Lonchura striata: one gene and its partner. The protein of the gene in region 1 binds, or shares a complex with, the protein of each later gene. Links are inferred from orthologs where the notes say so. Each region holds a gene or a part of one and is shown on either strand. Other genes may lie near its edges.

Region 1 (8,374 bases):
ATCTCGCTACTGAAAATAAAAATAGTATACCTGAAATTTGTGAAACACATTTACACCTGACTCAACCTTATGCTTTTGCAGTTGTATATTTTGTTTCACAACAAAATCCAGCATTCAAGTATAAATTTGGAATTTGTACTTATATTTGCAGGCAAGTGCCCTTTCTGTTCAGCAGTTGTTTAAGCTTTTAAAGTAGAAATGCTCTGTCTGTTGGCATGGAATATGACTAAGTGTACAGTTCTGGAGAGTTCCCTGCGTGGCAAACACCAAATTTGGGCTCACCAATGCTTGATGCGCAATTGGCTATGGGCTATTTTAGATTTCTGGAAGCAGAAGGGTATCTTTTTTATTTTCTTGAACTCCTGAAGAGGCAGTAAATTATTTCCTTTTCTCTGTTGTACAGCAGCCCCTCATTGGCTTTGTGGAAATAAATATCTGGAAAGGTATTTCTGTAATGACTTACTGAGAAATAGGTAACTTTTCATATCAGAAAATAGGATTGAACTCCAGTTCATGCTTATGATGAAGGTTGTAAGTACTAGATAGACAAAATACATAGTTGGTATTAGGTGAACTGATGTACTTAAAACATCTGAGTTCAATGAAATCAGAATATTGAAAGTGGAATATGATCCACAATGTAATTGATTTTCATATAGGTAGTCACAGCCTTCACAGTCTTTGGGAGAACAAGAAACTAAAAAGATCAGTTTACAGAACACTTTTTCTTTAAAAAATAGTTTGGAAACAGCCTGTTAGCACCAATGTGAGTATCACAAGAGAAAACACTTAAAGATGCATGTTTTTAGAAGCTTGTACTTTGTGCTGAGATATTCAGAAAGGTCTTGGGGTATAAAGGACTGCTAGTCAATACCAGTGCTGGCCCATATCTTCTGCAATGCTCTCTTTGAGAAGCAAACAAAATGGTCAAGAGAAATTGAATAGTCTTTATTTGGTCCTGTTTTGATCAGAACATACAGTGTCTACGTAATGTTTTTGATTCAGAGAAGCAGTTCCAGAGAATTTCAAAATTGCTGACCTGATTATTTTCAAGTCTGTATAGCCCTGTTTTAGTAGTTAGATAGGCTTTGTCAAGCCTGTCCTTATTTCTTACCCTCCACTAGTATTAAAAATACTAGTATTTTGCAGAACAGTTTGAAGAAATGGACCTACTCGACTTCTTTAAAAACTTAGGCTGGAAGAATAACAAGGAAACTGGAAATATTGAAGCAAGCTGCTTTTCATAAATGTTTGTTCTAATGTGAAAAATCCTTCTTTATTTTTCTATGTATAGATGAAATTAAAACTTAATGATAGGATTGGGCCTGAAACAAATGTTGAACAGCTTAAGGTGACTTGCTGTGTATTGTCTGGTGCCACTATTCTGTAGCTCCCCTAAGGTGAGTTCTCTTGATGTTTGGGAAGGTTTAAAAAGATAGCCATTTAAATTTAAACATTCCACTCACTTAGCTACAACTCAGCTTGTCCTGCTGGTTGGACAACACAAGCTCTTCCAATGCTCACTCAGTGACTTGCAGTTCCTAAGATTACTACAGATTCAGCTATGAATATATTCTCCATGTGTATATTTGAAGTACTGTAATACTAACTATGTCAGTGACTGATTATGAGCCTTCACATCTGACAGACCTCAGCAGCAGGCACAGCTATTTTGATTCTGTACACTGTATAAAACTGAAGTCCAGTAGTCACTTAACAGTAAATGGAACATGACTGCAGATTGATGCTTACTTTCAGCTTACTCCAGCAAGATAACTCAGCTATCCAAACTGATGTACATAATGTATTATATGAGTTTTACCATTTGATAATTGCCTTTTTCAAAGAAAACCTGTCCACACTGTAGACTGGCAGTCCCTTTCATATCTTGCCTTTAAAGATAGACAGTGTTTAGTTGTTAGAGTAGTACTCATGTAGGCTTGTTATAGCAGATAGCACCAACATTTTATTTGAGATAGTTAAGTGGATTAATTACAACTTCACAGATATGTCCCCAAATCTGTAACACCAAAGGCTTCCCTCTCATTGTTCTTGATGTAGTAGGACAGTGTTTGTGTAAAGGCCACAGGAGTACATTTTGTTGGACATATTTACACCCAGTCAAGATGTTAAGGTGATAAAAGTGTCAATTGTTCTTTACAAACTTACACGTTGTATAGTATACAGAATAAATCGATTTACTTAGTTTTTATTGCACCATGGAGGTTTGTCTCATCTTTACTGTGGTTTCCTAAACAATACAGGATACTTCGGTATTCTCTGTGGAAAATTTCTAAACTCTAAATCTTGCTACTCTGTATCATTAAAAATATGACTGGGCTTTGGTTTCTAGTATGTTAGACTGCAGAATTACTTTAATGTAATCACATTTATATATATTTCAGTGCTTATTTTTCTATTAAGGCAATTAAAGCTTATTGTTTGAAAACTCCGTAACAGATGATTGTTTGGGTCCCTTGCACTGAATGAAGGGGATGTCTGGGAACCAGCTTGGTGCAAAGAAGTTTGCATTGCTTTAGACTGTTGGCCTAAATATGGCAACAATTCGAAAAACCACAATGCTGGAAAAAAGTCCCACTACTTTCCCAGTCAGCCCGAGGCTTGGTGCTGATCTGTGCACAGCTTCCAGATCCATGGGGTGTTATTTACACAGTTAGCTCAGTCCCCAAGGTTATGCAGCACCCTCTGTGCTCTGCATACTTGCATGCTACATGATTGTCTCTCTTCCTACATATCTCTTGTATTACATTTCAGAGTTCTTAACTGTTCCCTCAGTACTGGCTGGAACCAGACCTGTTTGTTTCCTACAGCTGAAATCCCCAGGCCTGGGCCTTGAGGTGTGAGAATATGGCCTTGGCAGAGAACTCTCTGCTCACTCATTGTACAGTGTGACAGCAGAATAGGAGGTCCTGTGTGAGAAGGGAATTTATCTGCCAGAGTTGAACAGGTCACAGATATGAACGGAACACAGATGTAAGAAAAAGGATAGGACAAATGCTTCTTAACTGCTGAAAAAAAATTGCATAAAAATTCAGTATAAAATTGTATGGGGGGACTGTGTCAGTTCCATCATTTATACATTGTTATCTGGAACACCTTGGGATCTATGCTCTGAAAAAAAAATGCCATCTTTTCAAAAAGATGTTGTGTGCAAGGTAAGAGGTGAGGTCTTTCAAAATCTTGCCAGCAAATATTTGATGCAAGAGATGCATCTTAAAGTAGTCGGTCTGGATACATTACAAACAGGTTGTTTCTTGGCAACTTTCAATGCCCTCAATTCCTGTCCTTAATGGCAGATTTGAAATCCTGGTTTATGCAAATTGTGTCAAATCATAGCATATTTTGGACTCATATCTATTTTTTGCTGTGGCTCATAATTACATTTGGCTCATGAGCTCCAGCTGTGAGTGACTGAGATCAGTAATCCACAGTCCAAGCAAACTCCTGAAATGAGTGTCTTAGAATTTAAGAATTTAGCATAAATATTGTGAGGAAAGGGTTCAAAAAATCCGATGTGAAGCATCACACCAAGAGGAGGTCCAGGTCCTTTCTGAAAACAAAACTGAAATTTCTGTTTGCAGTTCCAGCGTTGCACCTGAAAGATGACTGGCAGCTTTAGTACAGATCTCTCTGGTTTGCCTTGGCAGATGGATGAAGAGCAGCTGTGAAAACTGCTTAGCCAAAACCTCACCCCTGATCTGGACAGCAGCTCCCAGGAGCCCATTCTGGGCTTTTAGTAACACTGAGAGTGACTGTCCAGTTCTGCTGGAGTGAGCATCCTGGTTTGGGACAGCAACAGCAGTCATGGCTGATGAGCCTGGACGTTCTGACAGAACCTGGGAAGGAATATATTTTTAAATTCTGTTCACATTATTTTGAACTCTCCCAGCAAAATCAGGTGTTTCTACAAATCTCTATATGCTAACCTTAGTTTCCTAGCTGTGAAGGCCATACGTCTGCACCTAATCCAAACAATTTTGGGTAAGCTACGTTATTTTCATCTTGGCTATTTTCTGTTTGTGCTTGCTGCTTTCTCCATCTCCTTTTTAGATAGCAGCAGTAAAGTCCAGATAAGCATTTATTGGGAGTGTTTGTTTTGGGAGTCAGGGTAGTGTTTTCTCTCTGTTACTAAATTGATGAGTGATTTCTGACCCATTGCTTTCATGGTTCAGTTTCTCTGTAAACAGGTTTGTCTGTTTCTTTGGTAGTTGCGGGTTTCAGGGGCAGTGCAGATACTGCCCACTGAATACACAGCTGTTAGCTAAACAGCTGAATTCTGAGAGAGGATAGATAGTCAAAAGCAGTTTGGTGGAGAGTGTGGCAAACTTGCCTATGTTAAACTTGGTTTGTATTTTGGACTAGGAGTAGTAGGATGCATTTCCAAGGTGGAAAACAAAAACAGAGAAAGAGAGAATAGCTTCAGTTTTGCTGTCAAAAGAACTCTTGACATAACCTGAGCTGTACAAAACAGTCATAAACAAATCATAAAGGAGTCGGTTGTCATCTTGAGACCTTGCTGAAGCACGGACTATGCTTTTCATTCCCCTTTGTCATGGATGTTAAACTTCTCAACGATGTGTACCTCCATGTCTTGGTGAGAATGGGCTTAATTACGGAAGGAACTGGTTTGGGCCCATTTCCTTTCAGTGCCTTCAGTAACGGTTTGAATGACAAATACAATCAAGCTGTAAATAATTTGAAGGATGGGATTAGAATCGGTGCCCGTGAAAAGACGGGACTGGAGGGTTCCCTGCGCCTGGTGGTGCCCGCGGTGCGGAGCCTCCTCCGCGCCTCGAGCAGGGCACGGGCTGGGGACCAGAGAAGATCAGAACTATCCCTGATGACATAACGAGTAATTTGTTCAGTGTAGGAGAGAAAGAATAAAATGAATAATAATTTTAAAAAAGGATGGTAAGGGAGAGGAGGAATACCGGTTCTGGCATAGCGCGGGGGGCGCGCAGCCCACTGACGGCTCGCGCAGGGGTCCGGGAGCGGTCCCGCCCGCCGGTGGGAGGCAGCGCGCCGCCCGCCCGGCCCGGCCCGGCCCGGCCCGGCCCCGCCGCCGCTCCCACAATGCACAGAGCCCGCCAGGTAGCAGCAACATGGCGCGGGCCGCCGCCTGAGCATCCTCCTCCTCCTCCTCTCCTCCTCCTCCTCCACCCCCCGCCCGCCTCCGCCTCCCGCCGCCGGGCTGCCGCAGAGGGGCCGCCCGCCCGCGCCCTGCGCCATGGCAGCCTCCGAGCTCTACACGAAGGTAGGGCGGCGGCGGGGCCGGGCTGCGCGGGGCGGTGGGGCCGCGGGGCGGGCCGGGCGGGGGCCGGCGGGGCAGCGGGGGCTCGGCCGGGGCAGCGGGGGCTCTGTTCCGTGGGAGCAGCGGGAGCGCGGGCGCCGCTGCCCCGGCGGGGCCGCATCCCGGCGGGCGCGGGGCCGCTCCCGCCGCCGGCGAGCCCGGTGCCGGCGGCCCGGGCCCGCGGGAGCCGCCGCGCCGCCCCTCCCGCCCGGCTCCGCGCTCCGCGCTCCGGCGGCGCGGCCGGGATGCGCCGCGGCCGGGGCAGCGCGGTGCGGCGGCGCGGTTATCGCCTTCGGGCGCGCCGTCCCGCTCCTTGAGGAAAAACGGCTCCGAGGACATGAGCGCTCTGATATTCAGCTGCGCTTTTCGGTGACACTGCACCTTTGGATTATGTTCTTCTGGCAGTCGTTCAGAAGCCCTGCAGTCAGCAGCGATGCGCAGCGTGACTCTCATATGCTCTTTAATCAGACATTTTTCTAATCTTTTTAGTCTTGTGTGTTAGTATCTCATCAGCTTCTGCCTGGAAACAGTTACCGTCCTGTGCATCTTGATGGCAAAGCCTGCAACTTGAGATGTGGAAATGGTTATTTTCACTCCTAGCAATGCATTGTTTTCGTTGCTCCGCCTTGACCTGGTGCATAAATCTGAAAAAAAATGACAGAAAACAGGTCTTAAAGGGCAGAAGGGATGACAGAGGCCACTGGAATTGAGCAGGGCAGCACAACATGGCAAACTCCAAATACTACTTTCAAAAGGCTTGCACAGGCAAAGAGTGTTGGTAGGAAAGCCATGCCATCTGGATCCTTGAGCCACTTAGTTAAATGCTCCAGAATTATCCCCAGTCTAGCACTCTGCAAGGAAGGAAAGGAAACAGACTTTTTGTTTGGACATGGATAGGTCACCTTATTTGTAGAGCCCTCCCACTCAGGAGTGGTGGGACAGCAGTGACTGCATCAGGGCAAATCAAACCAGACAGTCCCTTCAACAGGGACTGCTTGCTCTGAGAGTGTATTTGTGTAGGAGAAATTGAATGTGAGAGGTGAGGTGCATGCCTGAACCCCCAAAAGATTAATTAAATACATGAATGATATGGCACACCTTGGTGTTTTGTATTTCATACAAGAATACCTCTTTGAACTATCCCAAAGGGATAAAATTTACCATTCTGGTCAAGAGAGTGGTGGTACTGCAGAGCTGTTTTCAGGCACCCCACAGACCTTCTCTGTGTAAGGAGTTATTTTAGAAATGTGGTTTTGATTCTTCCTCTCTGATGACGTTCTTCTTATGGAATTAAAATGTCTCATAAAGTGTGGATCAGACTACTTGCTTTTTTCCTTTTTTTTTTTTTTTTTTTTTTTTAATTCCCAACTTTATCTGACCTTGAATACTTTTCACTGAGTGGTTGATTCCTTTGGTCAGAAGCTGCTCCAAAAATGTGGGTGTGCTGTTGTCTTTGAACTGTGTTACAGCAGAAAACTCAAGGCCCCTTATAATTCCTGAGGAGGGCCTGGCTCAGAGTTGGGCAGGCCAGGGTAGGAAACCTGCTGGGTGCTCAAGGGAGACTCTGCTGGCTCTTTCCTCAAGTAATGGCAGCATGCTGCTTGAATAGCATTCACTAGATCATCCTTGATTAGGTAACGTAAATAATGGATTTAAGGTCAAACATGCTGAGGTAAAAAGAGCAAACGCAAAGTCAGACAAGTGCAGGGATGATCCTGCAGGAAGGACTGGCTGGGTGATGAAGGCCGGTGAGATTGTGTCTGTGCTTCTCTCACACCACAGGCTGTTCTTGTCCTCTTTAGAGACACATGTAGGCACAGAAAGAGTGAGTTTCACATCTTTTTTAACTGGTAAGCAGAGATTGTCATTCAGGGCAGCTGCTTAAAGTACCAGAGCTTCCAGTGTAGTGTCAGCTCTTAGCATATGGTGTTGGCATAGATACTTTGCTGGCAAGCAGGGTTGGGGATGAATTTTCAGCACATTGTTGCTGCTGTGTGCCCTGGAGCAAAGGCAGCTCTCCTACCCTCTCCCACTGGATGCCCCCATCCCAGCTTGCCTGTGTTTTTCAGGTGGCTGTGGTGGTGTGAGTGACTTGCAGCGAGGGTTGGTGAAGTTCTGTTAAAGACTGGATGAGCAGTGTTGCAAAGAAGTTGTTGGCATTTCTTCAGATGCTGTCTGAGATTGGCAGGACAGACTTCTTTCCAGCTGGGGGTGGTGGAAGTGGGGCTCTGCTGTATGCTCCAGTGTGTCCAGTTTGCTCGTAGGTTATCCCTTCAATATTGTAAACGCAGGCGAACCCAATGGGAAGAAATGATGATGTCTGACTCAATTCAGAAGGCTGAATTATTTCTTTATTATAACTATGCTAAAATAAATTAATATACTATATAAAAGGAGGATACTAAAACTACATACTACTTTCTCTGACTCTAACTCCCCCACAACTCGTGACCCTCTCTGAGAGTCCAGCCCCAGGTGGGTTGGATTGACCATCAGGCTCAAACAATCCTCACCAGAATCCAACTAAGCACTCACTCCAGGTAAACAATTCTCCAAACATATTTCACATAGGAAAAACAAGAAGCAGAAATAGAAATTGTTTTCTCCATTTCTCTCTGTGTACCTCTATGAAAAATCCTGAGAGGGAGAGAAATGTGCTTGCCACACTTCAAATTTGGGTTCTTTGCATATCAACATAAAGCTAGCATCCACTATCCCAACCATATATTGAAATAGCTGAAAGGAACTCTATTTTTCCAAGGTAATTTTTTTGTTAGAAACCAGCAATACAGACTTTTTTAAGAAGTCATGCCACTCCTGTGAAAACCCTATTGTTTTGATTCATCCAGATGTATTTCTAAATTTGGTGGCTATATAGCCAGCCTTGGAGTTGGACATGGTTGTAGTTAATCTAGAAAAATGGATTTAAGTTAAAGGACTCAAGTGCACTCACAAACTAGTTGAGAGCAGTGGGCCCAAACCATGAGGCTTTGTATTCCTGTGCCCAGTGACTCTGCAAATTCAGACTCTGCTTGGGGGCATTAGCTTTAATTTTGGGGTGAA
Region 2 (8,193 bases), on another chromosome or scaffold:
GAAAAGGGGGGGGGATAATGGCGGAAACGGTGAGGGGGAAAGGAGAAGGAGAAAGGGTGGGGAAATGAAAGAAAAAAGGGCGAGCAAGATGAGGAGAAAAGGGAAAGAAAAGCAGCCGGCAGCCCCGGCTCGGCGAGGACGAAGCTCCCAAAGCCGAGCTGCCGTGCAGAACCTCCCAGGGAAGCTTGGTGTCGCTCCAGGCCTTGGGAATGCAGCGGAGCGGGGCGGCTGGAAGGGAAGGAAGGCTGGAGGAGCCGTGCCGGACCCTCCGCACTCCCCGTGCTGGCGGAAAATAAATAAATAAAGGAGACAACCCGGACCGACAGGGAAAGATGAAGAAAAAAAAAAAAAAAAAAAAAAAACCCAAAAAAACCAAACAAACAAACAAAAAAAAACCAAAGAAAAGGCACGCTGGAGACACTCGTCGGTCTTGGAAGGGGAAGGGATCAGTGGCGTCAGACCCCGGCCGGGTCCCAGAGCACGCCCCCAGCCCCAGGTGAGGGATCTCAAACAGATTTAAAGCCACTTCTTCCTCTCAGAGACCTCTGCAATGGGAGTCGATGGGGTTTTTATATAATATATTGCGTTGGAAGGGACTTCAAATCTTATCTCATTCCACTCCTCTGCTACCAGCAGGGACACCTCCCAGTGTCCCAGGTTGCTCCAAGCCCTGTCCAGCCTGGCCTTGGACACTGCCAGGGATGGAGCAGCCACAGCTGCTGTGGGAAACCTGTGCCAGAGCCTCCCTGCCCTTATTGTAAAAACTTTTCCTGGTGTTTATGTCTATATTGACCTCTATCTTTCAGTTTAAAACCATCACCCTTTGTGCTGAGGGGTGGGGCAGTCCCAGCTGTGGCTGGTGAGGGTGATGAGCAGGACGGCATTTGGGGGCCCTGGGAAGATCCTTTTCCTTTCTCCTTTCTATTTCATCTTCTCCATCCCTCACCAGTGCATCCCAGTGCCTCCAGTTTCTCTCCAGTGCATCCTTTTGATCCCAGAACAAAGGCAGGGAGCTGGGGCGGAAAAGGAGTTTAAACTGAGGGAAAACCCTCCTTTATTATTATTTGTATTTAAACTAAGACCCCTTCACCTGTGATTTAAAAGTTATCAATTGATCAAAAACCTGCCCTTTCTGTGTTTTTTGGGCTATCAATTAATTGACCAGGAATCCCCATTTTCCAGTTTAAGTGAAAAAGAAAGGTCTTTTTTGTGTCATGTGTTTATTTTGAATTTAAGGCAACACCCCACCCCCCCACCCCCCTGCCATTTTAATCATTTTAAGGTTTAAATTGAGAGGGAATCCCTGTTGTCCCTGACCTTTTTAGGGTTAAAATTGAGGGATATTACCCCATTTTCCCATAATTTGGGTATGGGTCCTATGGGGTTGTGAGGGCTTTGGGAGCTCTAAGGCCTGTAGGGTCTGTGTAGGCTATAGGGTCTGTAAGGGCTATCTGTTATATGAGGGATGACAGCTATGGGGTTTGTTAAGGGTTATGGGCTGTGTTAGGGATGTGAGGGCTGTGGGGGCTTTGAGGTCTGTTTGGGGTATGTGGGCTCTGGGGTCTGTGTAGGGTATGGGGGCTTTGGGGGGCTGTCAGTGCTGTGAGGCTCACGGGGTTTTTGAAGATCTGTAAGGGCTATGGGATCTGTGATGGCTGTTGGGACTGAGAGGGCTCCCTAATGGTCACATTGGTTGGGAAAAATGTCCTTATATCTTCAACCCCACAAATGATACTCCACAAACTTTGTTTTCATGTTCTCAGTGATAGTTTCCTAATTGCTACAGAGGTCAGAGCATCGTTATCCGTGATAATTAAAGTTGAATGGTTATTTTCTCTAAGTGAGGCTGTTGGGGTCATTCCAAATGAGATGTGGTCATGCCATAGCATAATTTAATTGCTGTATTAATGGATGAAACCCATGGCAATCCCTCGTGAGTCACATACAGAAATAGCAGTGGCATTGTACGTTCCTTCCCTGTCCTGCTTGTTCTTCTCCACTATGATGGTGCTGATAAGATGTCATTGTAAAGCTGCCAAGAAACTGAAGGGAGAAGGAATGCCATCCCAGGGATATCTCATGACTTGGAGATGATCGTGGAAGGATGGGGGGAGAGGCAGAGGCACTCAGGAAACTCCAGCAACGTGCCTGTTGGAGCTCCTGGTTTTGTTATGCTCCTGTGAATAAGGGTCCTGTGACCTCTGCCTGCGGCTTTGAAATGGGCTGGAGCTGCTGGTGGATGCTCCTGGTTCGACTCCATCTGGCTTTTGGAATCTCCTCTAGCTTGGTATTTGGGATGACCCCGTGTTGAGGGGAGCCAAAACACCTGTCAGTGTTGATGGAGTGAGAAACAAAGCTGGAGCTGACTCCACTGTAAATCACCATTTCAGCACCTCGTGTAGGCACATCTGCCCTCTGCAGCACTTAATGCAGCTGTTTGGAAAAATTGGGTACTGGAGAAATTATTGGGGTTTTGCCCCTTGGTTTGGCCCCTTCAGCAGGAAGAAGATGAGGATGTGGGAGTGCTGGGTGGCTTACTGAGGTGGTGTTTGCTGTCTTTAGAAGCAGCTGGATATTATCTTCGCTCATCAGTTTTGTTGAACTCTGATTATGGATTTACTTCCAGTTATCAGTTAAAACATTGTGAAATGAATGGCTGGAGGGGGGCCAGGCCACATGTTCCATACATATATCAGTTCACAGTTGTCTTACAAATAATTACCAAGAACTGCAAAGATAACAGTTCATGTGACTGTTACTTTTAAAAGAGTGGCCCTGCAGCTAGAAGTGCATTTCTCTTAAAGATGCCCCAGAAATCCATTCTTTTCCTCCCGTGGCCATAATCAATATCAGAAATGGAGCCTGGGATCCATCTATGCCTGGTTTCCCAGGAGAGGCTTAGCTTATGACACTTCCCTCTCCCATTTTGCCACCAGGTTCCCGATTCAAGTGGAATCAAGGTCCATTTGAGCTTCCAGCTGATAGGAAACACAAAACTTTTCCTTTCCATCCCTGCTCCTGATCTCCATCCCACACATGTGTGGTCACTGCAGAGGCTGGTGGACTTAGGCAGACCTATAATGTCATCTGGCCCTACAACTTGGAATCATAAAGGGTGGAAAAGTCTTCTAAGACTGACTCCAACCATTAACCTAACACTGCCAGTTCCACCACTAACCATGTCCCCAAGTGCCACATCCACATATTTTCTGAAGGCTTCCATGTGACAGTGTCTCAGTGTCTGAGTGGTTCTGGGTGCGTGGTTTGGTGCTGGTCCTTTTTGGGGGTTGTTTGTTTGTTTGTTTGTTTGGGGTTTTTTTTATGAGTTTGTAAGATCTGTGAGCCTTTATTCACGGTTCTATGATGGGAGAGGGAGCTGTGGGTGAGCAGGTTTAATTGTCCTCCTTAAGGCAGAGAATTGTTGGAAGCTGGTGATAGCTGGGTCTGAACTGCTAAAAATCTAAACTTCTTTGAAAGAGGGGAAAAAAGAAAAAAAAAAAAGAAAACATTTCTGTCTTTGCTGTTACACACATCAGTGAGCCGAGGGAGGAGAGTTTTCCTACAGAAACCGTTCCCAGGCAATAGTTTGCCAACAGAATACTTTGAATTTATTCGTGCACCCAGGACATTTCCCTTGAGGTGGTTTTCTGGCTAAGCCAGCCCTTTTTAGGGGGTATTGGCACTGCTGAACACTCGCAATTTTTTTCCCATGTTCATTGCATAGCAGGCCACATCTTCCTGGTTTAACGCAACCCCTTTATCCTTGTGGAGGAGAATGTGTTGGGATCTAGGGCGGTCAGAGGTGCTGGGTGATTGGAGCGGGAGGCCCTGGAACAGGGGCTCGTTGTGATGTTAATTATCGCTGTTGACCGCTCCCTGTTCGGATGCAGTGGGGCGCAAGGGCTCCCAAACACGCTTACATAAGGACCTGCCCGACTGATATCTGGCTCCTGCCAATAAACTGATTGCTTTTGTCGGGACCTCTGCTGGACGAGGAGCTGGAAATCAATTTCTGGCTTCCAGAGAAGATCATGCATTCCCGATATCCAAGCTCAAACACTGCATCTGTAGTCATCACTTTTCCTGCACAAAATCCATCCTAATTCGGGTTCAAAATACTTTTCTGACCCTATTCATGGAGTTTAATCTAATCTCTGTTTCAAGTGAGTTACCAGGGTGGATAATTCCCTGTATCCCTGGGTGGGCAGCAGGGATTTTAGTCCCACTAGGCAGAAGTTTTCCTCTTTGGTCTTGCTGTCTTGCTCCCTGTTTACATTCATGTCAGGGAAGAGAAAAAAAAAAAAAAAGAGTACCATCAATATTTGATCTCACGAAAGTGAGAAATGGGTTTACTTTGAACACAGAGGGAGTGTTTTACTGAGCAAGACAACAGCCTCGGCAGTCGGATATATATTACAATTTATATCTCTTTGCTTATGTGGTGTATTTAGCGCTTTTCTTAAAATCCTGTCAAACCGTCTTTTCTTGCTCACGGCAAACGAGGGAAGTGCTGCGTCCTAATTAAGCTGTTTGCCACGAGCAAAGCTCAGCTGCCCAAAATGCTGTGAGAGCAATACAGGACGCTAGTCTCTGGTATTGCGGGGAAGCCAGATGCGCTGAAGTTTTCCTCACAAACTGCTGCTAGGGGCAAAATTTGTGTAATGAGATGAGACACAGAAGAGCGGGCTGGGGAGCGGAGCATCCCGGTGGGGCAGGAGCCACCGCGATGGAGCCGGTCCTCCCGGGCGTGCAGGCACGGCTCCTCCCGGGGATGCTCCGCTCCCTCCCAAAGCCCGTGGCCTGCCTTCCCCGGGGAGGCGTCTGAAGGCTCCCTTTCATTCGCACACCCAGCATCAAGCAGGCAGAGTAAACATCTCCCGTAGCCCCAGCCAGGCGGGCGAGGTCCGGAGCGGCTGCAGCTGCGGGCAGCGCCCCGGGGGAAGGCAGGGCCGCCCTCCCGGCTGGCGAGGAGTCCCCGCAGCCGATAGGCACCGTGCCAGCCCTGCTCGGCGGCCGGCTCCGCGGGCAGGCTCGCCCGGCAGAGCGGCTGCGGTGCTGGCAGGAGCCGGCTGGCCTGCCCGCAGCTCTGCCCCTGCCCGGTTATATGGGCAGCCGCGGAGGTGGGGCTGAGCTCTTCCCCCTTCGTCAGCAGCATCCCATGGTACGGGACAGCGAGCGCTCGGGGAGCGCGAGTAACGGGATCGGCTTCACGTCTCGCCGCGACGAGATGGGCAGGAAGCTGGACCTCTCCAAGCTCACCGATGAAGAAGCCAAGCATGTTTGGGAAGTCGTTCAACGGGACTTTGATCTGCGGAAAAAAGAGGAGGAACGGCTGGAGTGAGTATCTGTTCTCCGGTCCCTGAGCTGGGGGCAAGCCAGCCAAAACCTCGGGTCCCCGTGGGCTGGAGGGACAAAACAACCTGCTGAGGCTGTGGGCGAGGAGGGACGGCAGGAGACCGGGCTGAGGAAGTCAAACACGGTTAATAGATTGATTACGTTATCAGCGGCGAGGTGACGCATTCGGCCAGCAAAGGTGCAAACTGGCGCCGTGCCACCGGCAGCGACGCGGATCGGTGACACCGTCGCACTTTATGGGGACAAATACCAGGAAATGCCTCTGTGAGGCTTGAGGCTGGTGGGGCTCTCAAGGGCAGGCTTCACCCGGGAGCAGAGGATGGGATTTGGCTCCCTTGGTTTTGCTTCATGTGATGGGTCTCGTGTGGTTTGGGCAGGAGTTGTTCAGTGGGTTCTGGGAATCCTGAAAAAATAACTGAGAGGAGTAGTAAAACTATTTTAGTAACTTTAAATACGCAATACCAGGGGCTGTGCTGTCCTGGAAAGGTTTTAGGGGCCCACAGATTGGAGAAAGACTGAGAAGTCACTGGGGCAGCAAATTCTCTGAATTTCCAAATCTTTAGTAGTAAACCTAGTACTACTAGTAAACCTACTAGTAAAGCTATTTTAGTAGACTTAAATACGCAATACCAGGGGCTGTGCTGTCCTGGAAAGATTTTAGGGGCCCACAGATTGGGGAAAGATTGAAAAGTCACTGGAGCAGCAAATTCTATGAACTTCTAAATCCTTATAAACAGGGTGTTGGATGAAAGTGCTGTTTAAAAAATGTTCTGTCAGATCAGATTAAATTTTGAGCATGAGAAATCGCAGGGCTTCAGGTTTTGTTCATGAGCTTCATCAGATGCTGAACTTAATAATGCCTTAACATATTTCAAAAAGCTGCAGTGATCCTCTTCAGGGTCTGGCCAAGTTATCATTATCCAAATGGATGGTCCATGCTCTCAGACTGGATTTGGGCTGTGCTGCACTCCCACTGAGCCCTCAGACCCTCCCAGCTCTGAATTTTATGTGCCAGGGCTGGTGTTGATACCAATGCCTGGAGACCAGGAGCTCATTAGTTCCTCTATCAGATCCGAAAGGAGGGGGGAGCAGTGATAGCCATCCTCAGTTTGGGATATCTGCATCCCCCAAAACCTTTCAATCATGGGACCCTCTTCATTTACACCAATGGCTACAAGAAACTCTCAGTTGTGTATTTTTCATTGCCTTGATTACTTTTTTTTTTTATTTTTTGCCTAAGAAAAGCCAGCCTGCGTGGGAGGCAGAGATAATTCAATATCATCATCTACTGCCTTCCTCTGCTGGTAGCTCTGAAGAGCAGGAAGGAGATCAGACAGGGGTATTTTAAAAAATTATCACCCTGCAAAGGGTGAATGTCTCCCTTGTGATGCATCTAAGCTCAGCCTGGAGGGAGGAGGTGGAGACATACTTTGCAGTGCCCTGCAGCAAAGAATTGGGCGAGGTGAATTCCTTCCTTACTTGACCTTGGCGCCAGACTGGGTTTATCTGGGTCTTCTCTGATGCCCAGGAAGCTTCCAAATTGGATACCATGCTCTGGGAGATGCAAGATGGGAGAAGGTCTTGGGATGCTCCTACCCAGCTGCTCTCTCTCCTCCTAAGAGCCATTTCCCCTGTTTTCTTATTTTTATTTTCTTCTTTAATTGTGCCCTGCAGGGGGCTGGCATTAAGCATTTGGAACTACATAAATTTCTGTACTTTCTGAATAATTTCTGCAACAGACCAGACCACCTGCCTGGGAAAGTCTGCCACATTCCTGAGTGCTGGACGTGGAGCTACACAAGAATTTTCTGCCTGTAACAAGCTGGGACATGATGTGACATTATCGGAGACCCTGCAGCCATTCACTCTGTGCTCTGACCAGTCCCATTTACTTTTCTATTCATTTACTTTTCTATTCACCGGGCTTGTCTCAACCTGCCAGCCTTGAAGAAATGTCCTGTCCAGCCCCTTCTCAGCTTGGTCTTTTTCTTCCCTTTTTGCTGCTTCTCTGTATTTTGTTTTTGGCAGAAGCTATTCATAAACAAGGGACAAAGCTGGCCACAGATGGCACAGGCATGTGAAGGCAATGCTTTGCCCAAAAAATTAAATAATGACCATTTTGAGGGATCTCTCCCTGGTTCTTTCCTGAAACATCCATGCCCACAACCCCATTTTTGGGGGATGGTTCCCTGCATCTCTCCTGGAGCTCTGTGGGTCCAATCCTGCTGCATCTGGCATCCCAACACCACAGATTTATTCATCCTGACGTGAGCAGAGCAGGGAAGGGGCTGGCTGCTGCTCCTGCCAGCAAGAGGAGACAAGAGGCATGCGGTTCCTGCGGGTTTTAAACTGGTTTGGCTGAGACTCTTCCTTCCTTTGGCAGGTCTGGTGGGTGAGGGAGGAGAGGTGAAGGGATCCAACCGGTCTCTTGGAACCAGAAAAAGCAGTTCCAGTAAAATAGATTGGATCCTGCTGGCAACAGCCTTAGCACGGGAGTGGAAAAGGAGTACAGAGTCCAACCCAAGGGTTTTCTATTTGAGGATTTCATTTCAGAAGTCACTTAAATTTACTGCTGGGACATTTGCACCAGTTTGTCCAAATCACTGCTAGGATAGTGAAGGGTGGATTTTACAAACCAGATGCCCAGTTTTCTGTCTTTGTGCTGGTCTGTCTTTGTGCTGGTTTTTACATCTCCCAGATGCAAATGCAAGTGGGTGTCACTCCTGTGTGACCACAAAGAGGAGTGACACCAAAAAATGTGTCTGGCGGTGTGTTGGCTGCCAGCTGGCCAGAAAATGCTTCCTTGGAAAAAAAATAAATGAAAAGCTGAGCCTTAAT

Evidence for each region.
Region 2: the proteins of MYO5A (region 1) and MLPH are in contact, whole or in part, in a crystal structure (PDB 4KP3), measured with the Mus musculus proteins. The link is inferred for Lonchura striata from reciprocal best matches to the Homo sapiens genes MYO5A and MLPH. Residues at the interface, in NP_034994.2 of Mus musculus: Asp1524, Val1527, Arg1528, Leu1531, Thr1532, Ile1535, Asn1536, Lys1539, Ser1570, Gly1571, Leu1588, Thr1589, Asn1590, Phe1591, Asp1592, Leu1593, Ala1594, Glu1595, Tyr1596, Val1599; in NP_443748.2 of Mus musculus: Lys184, Lys186, Arg187, Leu188, Leu189, Ser190, Phe191, Arg192, Asp195, Phe196, Glu197.

The regions. Positions count from the first base shown.
Region 1 is NC_134613.1:12,472,554-12,480,927, forward strand, and holds the start of MYO5A (unconventional myosin-Va), read left to right. Parts: upstream 1-5,091; 5' UTR 5,092-5,248; coding exon 5,249-5,275; intron 5,276-8,374. UniProt on the Homo sapiens protein: Processive actin-based motor that can move in large steps approximating the 36-nm pseudo-repeat of the actin filament. Can hydrolyze ATP in the presence of actin, which is essential for its function as a motor protein. Involved in melanosome transport.
Region 2 is NC_134610.1:38,435,579-38,443,771, forward strand, and holds the start of MLPH (melanophilin), read left to right. Parts: upstream 1-5,034; 5' UTR 5,035-5,104; coding exon 5,105-5,337; intron 5,338-8,193. UniProt on the Homo sapiens protein: Rab effector protein involved in melanosome transport. Serves as link between melanosome-bound RAB27A and the motor protein MYO5A.